Drosophila melanogaster: one gene and its partner. The protein of the gene in region 2 purifies or fractionates together with the protein of the main gene of each other region. This does not show direct contact. Each region holds a gene or a part of one and is shown on either strand. Other genes may lie near its edges.

Region 1 (3,754 bases), on a different chromosome or scaffold from region 2:
TCAGAGATAACACTCAGATCGCGCCCCTCACAAGTATGCTCATTATGTACATTCATATGTACATATGTACACACAGCTAAGCACATAAGGAATACGATATGCGCTATGTACATATATACATATTTACATCAAAGTCTTATCAGCCTCGGGTTCCCACCGTCCAAAAAAAAAGGCGGAACGAAGCTTTATAAATAATCAATCAACAAATATTTACAATCAAGTATTTATGTAGCGGGCGGAAAGTCGAATGCAAATAAGGTTAGACGCATTTGTACATATGTATTTTCTTAAAGGGTTCCTCTGATCAATATCTGCCCGTTTTTATCTAGCCCCGTTTATAAGGCTGTGAATGCCCCGATTGTGTTGGTCGTGATATCAATTAAATCGGCATAATCTCATGTCATCTTTTTAAACATTATGATAGATAAAATGTATTATAACGACTCTAATTACATTGGGATTAAATGGGTTTTCGGAAAATACCTATGCAGTAAATCAAATTTAAGATCAATGTGCAGTTATTTGGGGTTTCTTGAGTTAGGACCTCTGTTTTAATATTGAGAATTACTCGATATTATCTTCCGTTTTATTTTATTTTCTGATCGTGTCGGTGCACGAGAAATACATATTTCCCACTTTTGTTGCATTTCGCTGACTAATCGAAAGCTAAATACCAAATAAGTTTCCGATATGGGGGGTATGTATGTACATACATACATATATAGTACGAGTATATATAATATACACTGAATAAGCCCGAGCATACATATGTACATATGTAGATAGTGCACATGTGTATTGTGGATCGTTTTGGAGCTGGGTTTTTCTTTGCTTTTCGTCGTTTTTAAGAGACTTGAGCTGAATGAGTCGCTACCAACTGTTGCGGTGGGTTAAAGGGTGGGGGGAGGGGGCGAATGGGGATGGGGGATGAAGATGATGATTCATGCAGCTGATGTTTGGACAGGGAAGAAAGAAAGAGCGAAAGAGAAAGCAAATCGGAAGCGGCGGTATCAAACAATCTGTTTAAATAACAACAAAAGACTTTATAAGCCTGACTTTCATTTCCATTTCCAATTTATTTTTCCCAAGTCTGGCTCATTTTGTGCAAATAAACAAATGACTCATTTGTTTAAAAATTCGATGAGACTCAAGGAATGTCACATTCACAAAAATTTTCAATTTGAAATCTGAAAAGATTCAACAGCATAAGCAAATGAATTTAAGATTGCGATATTTGGGTATTATCCTTAATTGGCTGGCTGCCTAATGTAGATTTGTTTTTCTCGGTGTACCGATGCATCCTCTTTGCCCATCCACTTCTTTCTCCCCTCTTTGCTGATTTTTTTTTTTTTTGTTTTGTGAGAGGGTGGAATTCGGGATTTGGGATGTGAGCGAGAAGGATGGCCATATTTTGAATTGTGGAAACAGCCGTTCCATTATCGTTCCATTACAAATGCACACACACACACACACACACGCGCGCGTGCAGTTTGCGCTTCTCTGTGTGTGCGTTTGGACCAAATGCAATAACAATAAAAACGCGCAACTCAAATTGTTAACAAAGGTAAGGCCGTTTTTTTGGCCGGATTTGGATTCTGGTCTTGAAAGAGAAACACACACACACACACACGCACGCAAAAAACCAACGAAAATAATAACAAAACAACAACTCACCCGAACTCGAACCCGTTTCACTGTTTTCCGCTTATTATAAATTTATACTTCGTTTGGCGTTTCTTAAATGCTTTCGAATTGCATTTTGGATTTGACATTAAATCGCTCCGCGCAGCACAGTAACAAAAATAAACGGAACAAAATAAATACAACCAGCCGATTCTGGCCTTCTCACAATTCCGACTTTTGAATTATCGAAACAGAAGCGCTGCTTGGGCCAACTAAGCCAACTTAACTAACCGATCGCAGAGCGCAAAGTGTCGTATTTTCACTGTCGTCAATTAACAACAGCGGCAACAAGAACAACAAACGAAATGAGCGGCTGGGCTACAGTTTTTTAGTCCGAGCGCGATCGAACATGTTGGCTGCCTGGCAACAAGTTCGATGCGAACTTTTCTATTGATCTAAGAAATCGGCGTTCTATCGATTGACGCGCTGCGCAGGCGCCTATCGATTTTTGAAATTCTAAGCCCGCCTTAAAGGATATTTGTAGAAAAGTAGCTTGCAAAGAAATTAAATTCCTTGAAATAAAAAAGAAATTTAGTACTCTCGTTCTATACTCACTTCTATTCACTTGCGGTTAGTTAGTTAGTTTTTAATGCCACATTTTTATGATGATGACTTTTTTTCAGCTCATCTATGCGCAATCAATTTTGCGCCAAGCGACAGCTGCACATAGTTTCTTTTGACCAAGCAATCATTTATCATATAATTTTCCAAGTAGTAGTGCCAAGTTCATAACTGATGGAGTGTGCTGCCAATTTGCATGTTGTGGAGCCATTCAGTTTCAAGGTCGCGCTAATTAAATACTCGTTACAAGTGATGCCAAATGTATAAATATTTGAACAGAACGTATTAAATTAATATTATCCACTAAGAGCACTATTTTAAATTCTTAAAAACCAGATGCACGTCAAATAGATGTACATAAAAAGTATATTTACTTACAAATATCATACACGGACCTGTTTTATTCCTCATCACTGGCCATTAGTTGATAACATGTGGACTTCTATGATATCCTGCTGCATTTTTGCCGTTTAGTCAGGATTTAGAGCTTGTACACAATGCGACAGCTGAAAGGGCGAAATCGGTGCAATCGTGCTGTTCGGCATCTGAAAGTTCAGGGCAAGATGTGGTTGAAAAATCTTAAAAGCGGTTTGGAACAAATTCGAGGTGAATCTATCCAAATCGTTAGAATCCCATGAGTACGTTCATCTTAATTACCTTTTACAATCCAGAAAGCCAGGTGCGGGGAACGCGAAAGAACTTCCTACACGATGGCTCCTTCCATGAGGCAGTTGCTCCAGTTCTGGCGGTGGCCCAGTGCTTTTGCCTAATGCCCGTGTGTGGAATCAGTGCTCCAACGTACAGGGGATTAAGCTTCAATCGGCGCAGCTGGCGATTCTGGTACAGCTCCTTGTACCTCTGCTCCACGTCGGTGGATCTGGCCTTCAGCATTCGCCGTGTGGCCCACAGTGTGCTGGATGTGCGCAGTGTGGGTGAGATTAAATGATGCTTTTCTTCGCAACATACCAATTGCATATGTTAATTACCATTTAGAGCCCATCGTTTTTCACGTTAGCATCCTGATCGCCTCCTGGCAGTTCCTGAACCTGGCCCAACTCTGGCCTGGATTGATGCGCCACTGGGCGGCGGTGGAGCGACGGCTACCGGGCTACACCTGTTGCCTGCAACGTGCTCGTCCTGCCCGTCGCCTCAAGTTGGTGGCCTTCGTGCTGCTGGTAGTTTCACTGAGTTGGGTCACCAAATTTGTTTGGGTTTGGATTTCGCTGAGTATAACCGGGCGTGCTTTTTTTTCCAGTGGAACACCTGCTGAGCATCATTTCGGTGGTTTACTACGACTTCTGCCCACGAAGAAGCGATCCCGTGGAATCCTATTTGCTTGGCGCCAGTGCCCAGTTATTCGAAGTGTTCCCCTACTCCAACTGGCTGGCTTGGCTGGGCAAGATCCAGAATGTGCTGCTCACCTTCGGCTGGAGTTACATGGACATATTCCTAATGATGCTGGGCATGGGTCTCAGCGAGATGTTGGCCAGGCTGAACCGCAGCCTGGAGC
Region 2 (3,754 bases):
TCCACCTCCTCCTGCTCGCCCAGTGATCGGAAACCTGACATCTGGATGACGCTCTATATGCATACGTTTATAATGAGAATTATATTGAATTAATGCATTAAATATTAAATTATTATACCGATTTTCCATATTCTATCGGATAGTACATAAGGCCTTGCATTAAGGAAAGACCTCAGTTTCATCCAAGAAAGAGAGTACCCACCTGATGGACGAACACCTCCTGGCCGCCGTCGTTGGGTGTAAGGAAGCCCCATCCCTTGGCCACGTTGAACCATTTGCATTTGCCCAGTCGCACACAACCGCATTCCTCGGTGGGACTCGCAAGATTTGCCGGATTCGCTGGAGGGAATAGAAAATGAAACTTGAGTTCGGTGCCCAATTCGATATCCTGTCTGGGAATCCCTCTGTTCAAGGTTTTGTTATTCAAATGACCAAGCGGCAAATAGGCAGCTGAACAACATTCATCGTGTCCTTGCCCCATTTGCCGCGAGGCAAGTTCAACTTGGGTTAGGTTCTTCTCTAGCCCTCCACGTCCCCATCCCAACTCAACGCCCATTGAGGGCAGAAAACAGGTTTCGTTGTTATTATAAGAAATATTCGGAAATAACTGAACGAGCGGCGCGGCGGAGTGGATTCATTCCATTATCTAAGCAGGGGCTCATCTCACTCACACACTCGCACCAGCCCATATCCATTTGGGCTGGCTCATTCATTCATTCATTCATTCATTCATAAATTGTTTTCACTTCGCTCGCTCCCATTTCGCTGCCAGCTTATCTATATATTTGTCGAAGTGGGCCCTAGTACTTGAGTGTACTCGTAGTATTGCCCAGATGCCCAGATACTCGGAATGCATTCTCATGCCTGTGCTCTGGCTTATCTGGAATTAAAATTTTCATTTTCGGGGGTTGCGCTGGCATTTCTAGGTCGTTGTGCTGCTCAAGCATTTTCTTACTCATTTCCAGCGAGAACGTGAATGGACTTTTAAGATCTTGGAAATTCTTTTGCGTCTGATAAGAAACCTAATTGAATGAAAATCTTTCATTCTTTACTCAAACCACCACCATTACATGATTATCCTTTTGGGATGGTTGGGTGTCCTTTTCCTTTTCTTATAGGTAAGCCGCAAACTGGTTTCCCCGTTCAATTAGGTTTGTAAGTCTGCGCAGATCTAATGCCTCAAATGCATTGAGGCGAGGATAATCCTCAACTGGACTGCCTGTGTCCTTGATCGAAGTGTGATGGTAAGTCGGTCAATGTTCGGGGGTTGATGACACCTCTGTATATAGAAACCCCCCAATTTACCAATAAAAAATCAAATCAGCGAATGGCAAAAACACAACAGAAACCAAGAAAAACATACGCCAGCAAAAAAAGAACTGCGCAGTATAAAAAAAAAAAAAACCAGACAAAAACAGAAACCAAATATTAGGGCGATCGCACAGCCAATCAGCAATCAGTTTGATAAGATTTCCTATTGAATTTGTTGTCGCTTTTTTTGGAACACAAAACACGTTTGTTGTGGGCAGCGGGGAATGTAGACGTTCGTTCGTGTGACGTTCATGCATTAGCTGGAAATTAGTTTCACTCTACTCCATATTCTAAACAAACCTGATGAAGTGGAACTCTGGCTGGTGGTCCTCCTTTCCAAGCCATTTTCCAGCTGTACGTTCTCCATGCTGACTTCTTGGGTTTTTAGTTTATTTTTCTTAGTTTAAAATCCACTTCAATTGTTTGATTACTCGCTCCAAAATTCAATGTTGCTTAAAACTTCACTGCAAATGCATGTTTTTCCTGCCAACGAACAGACATGTGGCCAAAGATCCGTATCTGTATTTGTATCTGTATCTTTCACTGCCCGCACTAACACAGCTACAGCACTTTCTCGAATTTTTGGGTTCAGCGAAGGGGAAATTAGGAAAACGCTGCCGCTGCGCACGACGCACTTCGTCACACTGACTCCGCGTTGCGTTTGACTATTTCTAGGAAGGTCGCAGCAGGCCCGAAAAATATTTAGCTCAGTATCTTGAAAACAATATTCGACTCTGCGCTTGTGTGTGTGTGCTTGGTGTGTCGGTGAGTGAGCGTGGAAAACGCCGAGCCGAAAGTTGAGTGAATTCGCACCGTTTCGGTTTCGATTTGAGTTGAGCGCGTAAATGTATCTGACAGATACTCTACATGACGATCGCGGGGAGAAACACCGAAAAACGTGCAGAGAGAGAGCGCTAGAGTGAGAGCCAAATTTATCTATGTCGACTAAAAAGACCTCAGAACCTAAATGCCGAGCACACTTTCGGATTCGGATTGGGATGTATCTGCATCTGTATGGCACTAAAAAAGTGCGTGAGACTAGCGCACTTCAGGATACTTGAGAAACTAAACTGTTATACAAACTAGACTGAATAGGTTTTAATTAACTTTTTTATGACTATATTAGCAATTATACAATTATATTGTTAGCCTCATAGGTAAGCACTTATAGTTTAAATTCCAAAATGTTTAAATTCAAATTGTAACTATCTTTAAAATGACCATTCGAGAAATTATTAAAACTATAGCCAATCTAGGAACAAATCTTTGTACCTCCATTTTTCACTCAAAGTGCAAATAGAAATAATTTATAAAATGAAATACTTAATCACCCCGAATCCTGCTTTATCCTGATAGGCTGATCACTTCCCTAAAAAAAAGATGCCGCTAAAAAGCGAACTATTCCCATTGGTGACTGCCAAAAAAATTGCACTAAAAAACTGCACCACAACTGGCGTTCTGCAACCCTCGCTTAAGTCGCGTGCCGGGCAGCTGTGAATTCTCGATGCATTTCAACCCCTCGCCGGCTGATATGAAATATGCACCCCCGAGCTGCATTGTGCAACATATTTGCGAACGCTCGTCCTGCCTCTTCCTCCCTTTTCGTCCTGCGACTCCGGATTGTAGCAATTAATTTCGGCACGTGCCACGCTGGCGTGCCAAATCGATGACCAATGCCATTGATGACAGTCGATCCGAGGGCGGAAACTGTATCGAGGATCAAATGCACAGGGGAGGCATCAGATGAACATTTTGTGGTTCGTAAATTTGGCAAGACCAGGATCGATTTGCAGTAAAAATGTTTTCGAAGGATAAATTTGGAAGAATATTTTTGTAAAATTACCAGAAATTAGTAGGGCAAATTAAAATTAGTTGTTCGACCTAATTTATAAATAACTATGTCGCAGAAATGTTTTCGAATATTTAGTTTATCTAATGAACAACTTCTGCTACTGACAACATTTAGATAAACGGAAGACTTGTTATGAAAAGGATTTGTTTTTAAAAACTAGGATTGTTATAAGTAATATTTTATGTTTCACAGCTTGTTTTGGTATCAATGTAAAAAATTGGTAACGCAAATAAAAAGGTAATATGAACCAATCGAGGCCCAAACAAGATGAAAATCATCAGAAATTTCCGAAGGGCGAGCGCTGTTAATGCCTGAGGGGTCACTGAGGGTCAGTTTGATGTTTTATCAATAGTAAATAAATGCTAAAAAACCCAAAACAATGCATCGTGAGCCAGCCGTCGCACAGTCTGTAATCAATATTTTGGCTGCCCTAAGCCGCTCCCAATCTCAATCCGCTGGCCAGTGGTCGATGGACAAAGCCGGCCAAAGGGACAAAGGACGCGGCGAGAGCGAAAGTGCCCATTAGGGATGCAACGGATGGCAGGCACTCACATGTGCGTAATTGGAACAGGATTAACAAGGCGTCCTGCC

What was found.
Region 1: the proteins of lin-28 (region 2) and Tre1 purify together in Drosophila melanogaster (affinity purification with mass spectrometry, with the first as the bait; one large-scale study listed by BioGRID). This does not show direct contact.

Annotation. Positions count from the first base shown.
Region 1 is NC_004354.4:5,677,986-5,681,739, forward strand, and holds the start of Tre1 (trapped in endoderm 1), read right to left. Parts: upstream 1,993-3,754; 5' UTR 1,675-1,992; intron 1-1,674. Other genes in the region: Gr5a (gustatory receptor 5a), read left to right, coding at 2,742-2,850, 2,916-3,176, 3,238-3,432, 3,500-3,754. UniProt on the Drosophila melanogaster protein: Essential for the first active step of germ cell migration: transepithelial migration of germ cells through the posterior midgut (PMG) epithelium.
Region 2 is NT_037436.4:5,652,904-5,656,657, reverse strand, and holds the start of lin-28 (lin-28), read right to left. Parts: upstream 1,978-3,754; 5' UTR 1,679-1,977; coding exon 1,612-1,678; intron 340-1,611; coding exon 203-339; intron 54-202; coding exon 1-53.